3 linked regions of the Macaca mulatta genome follow. The protein of the gene in region 1 binds, or shares a complex with, the protein of each later gene. Links are inferred from orthologs where the notes say so. Each region holds a gene or a part of one and is shown in the gene's direction. Other genes may lie near its edges.

Region 1 (3,643 bases):
TTCTGGCCATAACGTGGGGAGTAGGGTGGAGGAGGTTTGGCCAGGGACCCAGAGGCCTACAAGAAGACAGCAAAGCTAGTGACTTGCAGAGAAGGACAGTGTGTGGTGGCTGATGTGGGATGTGACCGTGTGGGGCCCCCGGGACTTGCTGAGGGCTGGGGTATGGCCTGCACCCTCACTCTGGACCCTTACTTCCACCTTGCAGACCTTGAAGACCTTGCGGCAGGTGGAGGTGATCAATTTTGGGGACTGCCTGGTGCGCTCCAAGGGTGCCGTTGCCATTGCAGATGCCATCCGTGGCGGCCTGCCCAAGCTAAAGGTGCCAGCCTGGATGCCTGACGTCCTCCCTCTGGGGTCTGTGGGTGGTGGGGTGGCTGGGGGCGCAGGGGTCTGGTCTGAAGGCAGGCAGGCCTGCATCCATATCCCAGCTCCCCCACTTCGGGCTCTGTGGTGCTGTGTGAGCCTGCACACCCCTCTGAGCCGTGGTTTCTTCATTTCTAAAGTGGGAGGCAGGGGTGGTGTGCGTCACTGTCGTAGAGTAAACACGCTCAGTACGTGACTCGTCGTTGGTTGCAGGGCATTATTTTTGTTGTTGGTGTTATTCTTCCTGCCCACTTTGCCCAATCCTGAGGACAGAGCCTGCCATATTCTCACTTGGGGAAACTGAGGCTTAGAGTAGAACCTGGTGTCCTGGCCTGGGTTTCTGCCTGCCTCCAACCCTTCCTCTTATTTTCAGGAGCTGAACTTGTCATTCTGTGAAATCAAGAGGGACGCTGCCCTGGCTGTTGCCGAGGCCATGGCAGACAAAACTGAGCTGGAGAAGCTGGACCTGAATGGTAGTCAGATGGGGGAGGCCTCTGCACAGGTCTGCTGGGCTGGCCCTGGCACCCCGGGCTGACTGCTCTTCCCTCCCCTTGAGCAGGCAACACCCTGGGAGAAGAAGGCTGTGAACAGCTTCAGGAGGTGCTGGAGGGCTTCAACATGGCCAAGGTGCTGGCGTCCCTCAGGTAGGGAACTCAGGGTGGGCGGCCCCAGAGGTCGGGGTCAGGCCATTCCTTTCTTTCTTTTTCTTGAGACGGAGTCTTGCTCTGTTGCCCAGGCTAAAGTACAGTGGTGCGATCTCAGCTCACTGCAGCTTCCACCTCCTGGGTTCAAGCGATTCTCCTGCCTCGGCCTCCCAAGTAGCTGGGATTACAGGCACCCACCACCACACCTGGCCCCTTTATTTGTTTCTACTTGTATTTATTCAGAAATGTTGGTTGCACTCCTGTTATGTACCAGGTCATACACTAGGCATCAGAGCTATAAGGGTGGGACACTCAGGGTTTCTGTCTCATGACGGAGGAGACAGAATGAGTTGTCCATTCAACAGAGGATCTCGTCCGGGCTAAGCGGGGCCACCCTGTAGAGTGGTGGAGTTGGGGAGGCCTCTGAAGGGGTGAGGCCAGATCTCATCCTGATGTGGTGGGGCCTGGGGAGTGATGGGGGTGGGAGGTGGGGGTAGCCAGAAGGGGCTGCACTCAGTATTGTTCTTAAGATGCTGACTCTAGAAAGGAAGAGACTGTGGGGCCTGGGGAGTCTACCTGGAGGCGAAGGTGGGTGACCGGGGAGTGGCCATCTTCTGGATCCAAGTCCGGTTGGGCCATCAAGCACCTGGCTCCCTGTACTCCTTTCATCTCCAAGTCAGCCTCATTCATGCGTCAGATACTCAGTCGTGTCTCCTCGGTGCTAGGCCCTGAGCTGAGGCTGGGAACTGGGGACTCCGAAGTGGGCTGAACCTTACAGGTCCCACAGTCCCTCGGAAATGGACCAGCCTTCCTGTGGGGCAAGGACACTCCTACTCTACTTCCTCCCCCACGCCTGTAGCTTCCTGAGGTCATGTGGATATGGGCGCCCCCTGCGCTGGCATCTCAACCTGGGCAGTGTTCCTGCCAAGCCCTGGGCTCTGGATGTGACAAAGCTGTCTTCGTTTTCTGTCTCCCCATGAAACTTGGGGCTCCTCGAGGACAGGAACAAGATGTGATTCTTTTGTGTCCACAGCGTGGATTTCTCTGGTGATCTACCTACCCCTGCCCTGGGAGCAGGTGCTCCCACCCCACCAGGCTCTCTCCCGCCTGGCTGAGCTGAGGTCTCTGGGCTCATGGAGCCAGGCCTTGCAGCCAACCTGGGCTGCTGGGTAGAGAGGATCTGCTTCAGCCAGCTCTTTCTGCAGTGACGACGAGGACGAGGAGGAGGAGGAAGGAGAAGAAGAAGAGGAAGCCGAAGAAGAGGAGGAGGAGGAAGAGGAGGAAGAGGAAGAAGAAGAAGAGGAGGAGGAAGAGGAGGAGCCTCAGCAGGGAGGGCAGGGAGAGAAGTCAGCCACACCCTCACAGAAGATTCTGGACCCTAACACTGGGGTGAGTTTCTATCATTTGCCACAATCAGAGCCCTGGTCCTGAGAACGTGAAATCCTGAGGTGCTTTCACAATGGGGTAGGGGGTGTCTCCTTAAGCACAGTAGCCACAAACATTTTTTTTTTTATTGCATGATATTGAGTAAAAAAAAGAAAATGGTTCAGTGTAATGATAGTTACCTATATTTCTTTCTTTTTTTCTTTTTTTTTTTGAGACGGAGTCTCACTTGTCACCCAGGCTAGAGTGCAGTGGTGTGATCTCAGCTCACTGCAACCTCTGCCTCCTGGGTTCTAGCGATTCTCATACCTCAGCCTCCCAAATAGCTGGGATTACAGGTGCTTGCCGCCTGGCCAATGTTTTTTTTGAGACAGCGTCTCGCTTTGTCGCCCAGGCTGGAGTGCAGTGGCATGATCTCGGCTCACTGCAAGTTCTGCCTCCCAGGTTCACACCATTCTCCTGCCTCAGCCTCCTGAGTAGCTGGGACTACAGGTGCCCGCCACCATGCCCAGCTAATTTTTTATATTTTTAGTAGACATGGGGTTTCACCATGTTAGCCAGGATGGTCTTGATCTGACCTCGTGATCCGCCTGCCTCCGCCTCCCAAAGTGCTGGGATTACAGGTGTGAGCCACTGCGCCCAGCCTCATCTGGCCAATTTTTGTATCTTTAGTAGAGCCAGGGTTTCGCCGTGTTGGCTAGGCTGGTCTTTGTTTTACTCCTGACCTCAGGTGATCCATCCGCCTCAACCTCCCAAAGTGCTGGGATTACAGGTGTTGAGCCACTGCGCCTGGCCATAATTACCTATATTTCTATTTATTCCAATATAAATGTCTATTTATAAGTAGCAGTGCTGCTGCATTACGTATATTATAATATATGCGTAAGGATTTCTGAAAGAATAAACAAATAAGCATGAATGGAAATTCTAATTTTTTTTTTCCCACCCACCAGAAGATTGTCTTGGTGACCCTTAGGAACTGCTCCCCCATTCCTGGGATGGTGGCTGGGCCGTGACTTGGCTTGGGCACTTGGTGTCTGGCCTGGGGCTGGTGGCATCAGGGCTGCCACACCTCCAGTTCATTCATTTGCATTCCTTGTCAGGTTCCTAAGTAAAGCTCCTGGAGAACTTGGCTTTGGACAAGGACTCCCCACACTTACGCTGATTGGGCTGCTTCTCTGGTTTACGGAAGCAGTTAAACAAATGGCTAGGTGCGCCTCAATTCGGGTTTTTCTCTGGGCACCTCTGGTGCT
Region 2 (3,643 bases), on another chromosome or scaffold:
GACCTTATTTCATGTTACAGTGTTCATATGAGGTAGAAAATTGACATTCAAGTGTAGATGGTGTACCAAAATACTGTCAAATCTCACGGCATTGGGCCAGGCGTGGTGGCTCACGCCTGTAATCCCAGCACTTTGGGAGGCCAAGGCAGGTGGGTCACCTGAGGTCAGGAGTTCAAGACCAGCCTGGACAACATGGTAAAACCCCATCTCTACTAAAAATACAAAACTTAGCCAGGCATGGTGACACTTGGCTGTAATCCCAGCTACTTGGGAGGCTGAGGCAGTAGAATCGCTTGAACCTGGGAGGTGGATGTTGCAGTGAGCCAAGATCACACCACTGCACTCCAGCCTGGGCGACAGCGAGACTCTGTCTCAAAAAAACAAAAACAAAAAAACCTCACAGCATTGACTGGGGCTTATCTAGGAGTTTAGTAGAACAGCTGTTTCAAGGTGAAGTAGATTCATAACATGGCTCTGGATAATTATCCTTAAGCTGCTAGATAGTAGCAACTCTTTTGTGAGCTGAAATTTTATTATATTCCCTATATAACAATTTCCTTATATTTCTCCACTTACTGTCCACTAAATGACAGCTTACCAAATGAGCAGATATCACTCAGTTTATAGTAAAGATTATATTTAAACAACAAAGATATGTAGCAAAGATATGTATGCATTTTTTTAGGCAACTTAGTGTATAGGGAGGCTAGTGTCTTTGGAATTCACTGTAGCATTTCAATGTATAGGAATGTCTTGACATTGTGGAAACTCTGTAACCTGAAATTCTAACTATATTATTCATTAATGAAGGAAACATTTAATCTTTTCTTTACCATCCTCACAGATAGACTTGTTGAAACAAAGGGACCTCTATGTTCATTGAGAAGTGAAAAGAGGTACGTATATTCAGTTCATTCTTTTAATATATATTTTCTTATTTTCTAAGCCATATTTATGAGTAAGCAGTTCTGAGGAACTGTGAACTCTCTTGAGTTCTGGTAGTTGGTCAGCATATTTAGGTAGATAGGTAGCTAGCTCTTGTGTCAGATGCCCACCCTAGCCTGGTGGGTTGGGGGGTGCCCTTTATCTCTCAGGCATCAGTGGTTGGGAGAAACACATGCTTCTTAGATGGGAGTTTGGTTGGTGTGGGGATGTCTAGTGATCAGTGTTTTTAGGATAGGAACAGTAAAGGCAGCTCTGCATGCTTTAGGATTTTGGGATGATGGTTTACAGCAGAGTTTGTAAACTATGGCCCATGGGCCAAATCTGGTCTACTTACCTATTTTTGTATAGTAAATTTCTACTGGAACATGCGAATTCATTTACACACTATCTATGGCTGCTTTTAAATTACAGTGGCAGAGTTGCCACGATGTGCCCAAGACCATAAAACCTGCAAAGCCTAAAATACCGTCTGTTCCTTTTCAGAAAAGTTTGTCGACTCTTGGTTTAGAGTATTGTATAAACTCAAGGCAATTTTTATTTACAAATTATGAAATCTTATTTCTAAAACTAGGATGTAAGTCATCTAGCAGAAGTCTGTCATCTCTCAATTTGTTTCCTTAGGTGTTCAAAGGGGAAAATTTCTGATACGGAGAAGATGATCGGAATTAGATTTGAAAATGAAAGTGTAAGTGAAAATCCCCGTTACATTTGATATCTGTGTTCTTACATAACTTATGTTTTGGTGCCCATGAAAAGCAAGAAAAAGTATATATATATGTGTGTTACTTTGATTGTTAATTCTGTTGTTTTTCTTTAAAAAAGCAGCAAGCCAGCCAGGCACAGTGGCTCATACCTGTAATACCAGAACTTTGGGAGGCCAAGGCAGAAGGATCACTTGAGCCCAGGAGTTTGAGACCAGCCTGGGCAACATAGTGAGACTGTCTCCACAAAAAAATTTAAAACTTAGCCAGGCATGGTGGCACATCTGTAGTCCCAGCTACTCGGGAAGCTAAGGTGGGAGGATCGCTTGAGCCCAAGAGGTCAAGGCTGCAGTGGGCTGTGATCACACCACTGCACTCCAGCCTGGGTGACACAGTGAGACTCTGTCTCCAAAAAAAAAAAAAAAAAAAAAAGGCAACAAAGCAACAGGAAACATTGAAAATACACAACTTTTTTCTGCCTTCTGAGTTGTTGGAGTTTTGCCTCTACAGTAGCCACCTTTGTTTATGAGAGACCAACCTGCCTCCATACCAACACATTACCTACATTTTATGGCTTCTTAGGGAGAATTTCTTAAAAGTCATACATCTCTGGAAAGAGATGATATGTTCTGGGGTGCTGGCAGAATTCTATTTGTTTACCACAATTGTGGTTATATAGTTGTTCATTTTACAAAAATGAAGTAAGTGGTATGTTAATGTTTTGTGCATTTTCTGTCATATAAAATGACTTTTTACAAGGATGAACTAGAACCAAGTTTAGTTACGGTAAAGATAGTAGGGATTTATTCTGAGTGATGGGATTGTGGGTCATATTTTTTGCTGTTTAAAACTTTCATAATATCTTTTAAACATACTGTTTTTAATTGTGATAGGAGAACTGAAAATACTTTTCTTGCTACTTCCAGGGAAGGTGGTGAGTGTTCTGTTTCATGGTTTGTAACTGAGGGTCCTGTGAGGCCTAGGTCTGGAGCTTTTTTTGTTCCCCCTTGCAGGGACAGACAGATATGGTAAATCTACTCACTTGGGGGATTTGCTAATTCTCTTTTCTTTCACATTAGTGGCAGTTTTATATTTCATGTGTAATCCGTGTTTATATTTGCAAGTATCAAACATGTCAGTAGAATTTAGATACTTTTTTGATCAGAGGAGGGGATACCAACTGGAGCCCGACCTATCAGAAGAAGTGTCGGCCCGACTCCGCCTGGGCAGCGGAAGCAATGGCTTACTCAGGAGGAAAGTGTCAATTGAGACAAAGGAAAAGAATTGCTCAGGCAAAGAGAGGGACAGAAGAACGGACGATCTCCTTGAACTCACAGAGGTATTGTTCTTTGTATTGATCCTAAAAAGAGGCATGTCTTTAAATAACCTCAGTTATTCTAAACTTGAATATTTTGTTTTGAGGACTTTCTCCAGACTAGAGATGAATGTATGAAAACAAATCAGGTCCATAGTCTGTTTATTCACTTTGACTACATTGATCTTTAGTGAGTCATGATCATTAGTGGCCTAAGGGATCAGATTGATATTTAGCAAATGTGAGTCAACACAATCATCTCATATCTTGGAATACAACAGATTCTTTGTAAATTCTAACCTTCAAATATGTTGAGTTATATAGTATGGGTTTGGTATTAGGAATAAGTTCATTGCATTTTTTAAAAAAGTGGTTACAGTTTACTAAAATGCCCCTTTTGCTGATTATTGCATTTGAAAATAATAAAAACTTACAGAACATGAAGAATGAAGGTAGTTAAAATTCTTAAAGATGTGCCACATCTTGGCTTCCTCTACAATGTTGCCCTAGTAGGCAAATCTCTTGAATACTTACTGTTATATTGGGCATGCAGGTGGAGAGAGAGAGAGATCCATAAAATAGTGAAGCTGTGTGCTGGGGGAGGAAGCATATATTTAGAAGAAAATAATTTCTTCTTTTTTTTTTTTTTTTGAGATGGAGTTTCACTCTTGTTGCCCAGGTT
Region 3 (4,165 bases), on another chromosome or scaffold:
AACGCTTTGAGAAGCTGGGCGCTTTGGGAGGCCGAGGCGGGTGGATCCCCTGAAGCCAACCTGGGAGACATAGTAAGATCCTGTCCCTAAAAATTAAAAAAAAAAAAAAAAGAAAAAAAATTACCCCGGATGTGGTGCGCGCCTGTAGTCCCAGCTAATTGGGAGGCTGAGGCGGGAGGATCGTTCGAGCCTGGGAGTTCGAGACCAGCCTGGGCAAAATAGCGAGACTCTGTCTCTTTTTTTTTTTTTGAGACTGAGTCTGGCTCTGTCGCCCAGGCTGGAGTGCAGTGGCCGGATCTCTGCTCACTGCAAGCTCCGCCTCCCGGGTTTACGCCATTCTCCTGCCTCAGCCTCCCGAGTAGCTGGGACTACCGGCGCCCGCCACCTCGCCCGGCTAGTTTTTTGTATTTTTTAGTAGAGACGGGGTTTCACCGTGTTAGCCAAGATGGTCTTGATCTCCTGACCTCGTGATCCGCCCGTCTCGGCCTCCCAAAGTGCTGGGATTACAGGCGTGAGCCACCGCACCCGGCCGAGACTCTGTCTCTTAAAAAAAAATAAGTAGCCATTTTCCGGGGTGGGGGCATCCCTCTCTGGTTCCTCGCTCTCCAACTGGCCCTGGTCCTGGGGGCGTGAAGGCTGCGATCTGGAGAGACAGAGCCGCGGGCTGACTCTGGAGGCCCAGCCTAGGATCCCTTCATTCATTCATCCGTTCTGTCACTCACCCGTCCTGCGCGCACGCGAGCGCCATCCTAAGCCCCAGGACCCCAAGTACCCCAACCCCACGGGGCACAGACAAGGACTGGCTGGCCAGCGCCTGGAAGCCGCGTGCCTGACCGCGTCTGCCCAAGCGAGTACCGCCTCCCACCCAAGAGGTAGCACGGCCGCGACAGTCCGGCCGCGCCCAACGACTCCCGCCCAGGGGCGCGCCGCCTCCCTGTCAGCGCATGCGCGCCCCCGAGCCCGCCCTGGGCGCCGGCGCACGTGGCCCCCACGGGCCGGCATGCGTGCGCGCTCCCGGCTCGCCCTCCCACGCGGTCCATCGCGCCTCCCGCCCCACCCTAAGCGCAGCGCCGGCCGCAGCGGCCGACTGAACCAGGTTGCGTGCGTGCGCGCGCGCACGCGCGGGCCACGTGGGCGGGCGCCGTGCCGTTGCCCCGCCCCTTGTCAACCCCGCCCCCGTCGGCCCCGCCCCTGCCCGCGCGCCGGCGTCGGCTGCGTCTCCGGCGTTTGAATTGCGCTTCCGCCATCTTTCCAGCCTCAGTCGGACGGGCGCGGAGACGCTTCTGGAAGGTAGTGAGACGCGGCGGGCCGGGCGGGGGCAGGGCCGGGCGGGGACAGGGGCGGCGGCGGCGGGATAGGGGCCGGAGCCGGGGTCAGGGCCGGGGCAGGTGGCGGGCCCAGGGACAGCGGGCGGCTGTGAGTAGGTGGGTGGCGCGGGCCCGGCCGTGCCGGGGCAGGAGACGGGCATGGGGTCGGCGCCCGCCCCCGCGAACCCCCGTTTCATCCTCCGCTCTCATTCCCGTCCCGGTCTCAGTCCCGTCCCTATCCCGACTCCTCCGTCCGCCGTTCCCCGCGCCCCGCCGCCCCGGATGCCGGCCCCGCCCGCCGCCTTCCCGCTCCGAGGCCCGGCCGCCATGGCGCCGCGGGCGGGAGGCCTTTGTGGGGCGGGCACGTGGGGCGCTGGGGGCGCGGGAGCGGGGCCGCCATGGGCTGCGGGGCCGCGCGAGCGCTCGCCTCCGTCCTCTGCCTCCGCAGGAACGCCGCGATGGCTGCGCAGGGAGAGCCCCAGGTCCAGTTCAAAGTAGGTAACCCTGCGGGGCGGGAGGCGGCCGAGTCCGACCGCGTGCGACTCGCGGGTCCCTCCTCCCGGACCCACGATGGCTGTAACGGGGCCCCGCATCCATATTCTTTGTTTTAAGTGAGCCTGTGATGGTTAAAGTTCCATGACTCTGGGATCTTGAGAGGTGAAGTGTTTTGGGTTTACTTCCAAATGTGTTCTCCAACAGCTTGTATTGGTTGGTGATGGTGGTACTGGAAAAACGACCTTCGTGAAGCGTCATTTGACTGGTGAATTTGAGAAGAAGTATGTAGGTATGTGCAGGAAAACCTTGCTTGTGGAAATACGTGAGAAATGGGTAAATTCATCCACTCAATCATGTCGTTTCCGTTTTAGCCACCTTGGGTGTTGAGGTTCATCCCCTAGTGTTCCACACCAACAGAGGACCTATTAAATTCAATGTATGGGACACAGCCGGCCAGGAGAAATTCGGCGGACTGAGAGATGGCTATTATATCCAAGGTAGGCATTTGTAACTTGCTGAACAGTTTTTGAGAGGTTTTGTGTACTTCAGTTTTCAAGGTTATAGAAAATCAGGTCTGTTCCAACAAATAGTGCTTAATACTGTAATGGGAATTGTGTCATTTCTGGGTTAAAAAAAGACGTGGACTTCAGGGAGTTGACCACCATTTTGGTGGCAGAGGAGAAAATTTTATGAAAGTTGCATGCTGTGTCATGCTAGGCATGGTTTAGAAAAACCTATGACTTACACTGGAACTTATAAGTCATGTTTAAAACAATAACAGGCTGTTAACAGCAGTTTCAGTATTTGAAAACTTTGGTTCTTGTGTGTAGTTTGGTGTGGCGATCAATGAATATTTCTAGTCCATTACAAAGCAACACCAGATACTAGACCAGAGGAGATAGGAGGTCTTAACAAGTGTTATACAAGACTAGCCGATTTCTTGTTAAATTGTTTGTAGTAAGTTGTGCAGAGTATTTTTCTCAAATAGTTTGATTTAAAAATCTCAAGGAAAATGTTCATTGTACCAAAAAGAGAGGAATAAACAAAATACTCATCTCTCCTGGAACCTCACGTTGCTAATAACACATTATCTGGAATCATTCCATGCCTTTTGCTCTTCTTGAACGTGTACATATAAACACAAGAATTTCCCCCCCAAAAAATCCTTTAACCAAAAAGTTGTGGTTTCTTGCCTTACTAACTGTACCATAGTTATTCCTGCAGGTGAGTATATAGACTTTATCTGGGTTATTTAATTTTTTTTTTTTTGAGACAGGGTCTTGTTTTGTTGCCCAACCTGGAGTGCAGCTTCCGCCTCCTAAGCCTCAGCCTCCTGAGTAGCTGGGACTACAGGCACCTGCCACTTTGCCTGACTAATTTTTGTATTTTTTTTTGGTAGGGATGGGGATTCACCATGTTGCCCATGCTGGTCTGGAACTCATGAGCTCAGGTGATCCACCCACCTCAGCCTCTCAAAGTGCTGGGATTACAGGCATGAGCCACATCGCTTGGCCTATCTGGAGTTTTTAAGACAGGAATGATATTTCCTAGTATAGTCGGCCATTTAAAGACTTTCTGAAGACTATTTCCAGGCCCTACCCTCAGAATATGGCAGCTTGGTTCTCCAGAATCTCACTTGGCATTAATTACTTCAGATAGTGTTTTGGGGATGAGGGGAGTATTAATGGTGAAGTTTATCAGGGAGATTTGATAGAATCAGCTCATCTTTCTTAGGAAGAGTTCTGTGTTAATGTTCTTAGAATTGAAAGAGACTTTGAAAGTGAGGGGAGAGATCTAGGTGCCTTGTTGAGGTCTAAGACTATAGTTGAATCCTAGTCTGCGGTTCTTAGCATTCTTCACTTGTGTGGTAAACAGTGTACTAATTACCGCAACTGTTTCTTTCAGCCCAGTGTGCCATCATCATGTTTGACGTAACATCGAGAGTTACTTACAAGAACGTGCCTAACTGGCATAGAGATCTGGTGCGAGTGTGTGAAAACATCCCCATTGTGTTGTGTGGTAACAAAGTGGACATTAAGGACAGGAAAGTGAAGGCGAAATCCATTGTCTTCCACCGAAAGAAGAATCTTCAGGTGTGTAAAATTAAAACTTCCTGAGTTATTTCTCTTAGCGGAGATTGTATGTAAGACCATGAAATTGACCAGTGTCTATTATATATGGAAATGATTTTTTTTCTCCCAAGATGGAGTCCCGCTCTGTCCCCCAGGCTGGAGTGCAGTGACGCAATCTGGGCTCGCTGCGACCTCCGCCTCCCGGGTTCAAGCAGTTCTCCTGTCTCAGCTCCCCTAGTAGCTGGATTAAAGGCATGTACCACCACGCCTGGCTAATTTTTGTACTTTTTT

The links.
Region 2: the proteins of RANGAP1 (region 1) and SENP2 are in contact, whole or in part, in a crystal structure (PDB 2IO3), measured with the Homo sapiens proteins. The link is inferred for Macaca mulatta from reciprocal best matches to the Homo sapiens genes RANGAP1 and SENP2. Residues at the interface, in NP_001265580.1 of Homo sapiens: Glu467, Asn508, Thr511, Thr514, Arg515, Val518, His519, Leu523, Lys524, Ser525, Glu526, Asp527, Val529; in NP_067640.2 of Homo sapiens: Tyr408, His409, Trp410, Val477, His478, Asp495, Met497, Gly498, Gln499, Lys500, Pro536, His537, Gln541, Gln542, Asn544, Gly545.
Region 3: the proteins of RANGAP1 (region 1) and RAN are in contact, whole or in part, in a cryo-EM structure (PDB 9B62), measured with the Homo sapiens proteins. The link is inferred for Macaca mulatta from reciprocal best matches to the Homo sapiens genes RANGAP1 and RAN. Residues at the interface, in NP_001265580.1 of Homo sapiens: Ser29, Gly58, Asn59, Thr60, Asp86, Thr89, Gly90, Arg91, Leu92, Arg93, Ile96, Asp121, Ala123, Phe124, Gly125, Asp127, Asn151, Cys152, Gly153, Met154, Gly155, Arg189, Asn190, Arg191, Gln217, Asn244, Asp245, Asn246, Thr247, Asp273; in NP_006316.1 of Homo sapiens: Asp18, Gly20, Tyr39, Val40, Ala41, Thr42, Leu43, Gly44, Val45, Glu46, Glu70, Lys71, Leu75, Arg76, Tyr79, Asp91, Thr93, Ser94, Arg95, Val96, Thr97, Asn100, Lys123, Asp128, Arg129, Lys130, Lys132, Lys134.

What each region holds. Positions count from the first base shown.
Region 1 is NC_133415.1:10,253,280-10,256,922, forward strand, and holds part of RANGAP1 (ran GTPase-activating protein 1), read left to right. Parts: intron 1-205; coding exon 206-319; coding exon of another isoform or gene 320-358; intron 359-679; coding exon of another isoform or gene 680-736; coding exon 737-836; intron 837-922; coding exon 923-1,007; intron 1,008-2,200; coding exon of another isoform or gene 2,201-2,212; coding exon 2,213-2,396; intron 2,397-3,643. UniProt on the Homo sapiens protein: GTPase activator for RAN. Converts cytoplasmic GTP-bound RAN to GDP-bound RAN, which is essential for RAN-mediated nuclear import and export. Mediates dissociation of cargo from nuclear export complexes containing XPO1, RAN and RANBP2 after nuclear export.
Region 2 is NC_133407.1:97,766,842-97,770,484, forward strand, and holds part of SENP2 (sentrin-specific protease 2), read left to right. Parts: intron 1-844; coding exon 845-896; intron 897-1,566; coding exon 1,567-1,630; intron 1,631-2,811; coding exon 2,812-2,985; intron 2,986-3,643. UniProt on the Homo sapiens protein: Protease that catalyzes two essential functions in the SUMO pathway.
Region 3 is NC_133416.1:138,253,275-138,257,439, forward strand, and holds the start of RAN (GTP-binding nuclear protein Ran), read left to right. Parts: upstream 1-1,258; 5' UTR 1,259-1,290; intron 1,291-1,755; 5' UTR 1,756-1,765; coding exon 1,766-1,801; intron 1,802-2,006; coding exon 2,007-2,091; intron 2,092-2,173; coding exon 2,174-2,299; intron 2,300-3,707; coding exon 3,708-3,895; intron 3,896-4,165. UniProt on the Homo sapiens protein: GTPase involved in nucleocytoplasmic transport, participating both to the import and the export from the nucleus of proteins and RNAs. Switches between a cytoplasmic GDP- and a nuclear GTP-bound state by nucleotide exchange and GTP hydrolysis.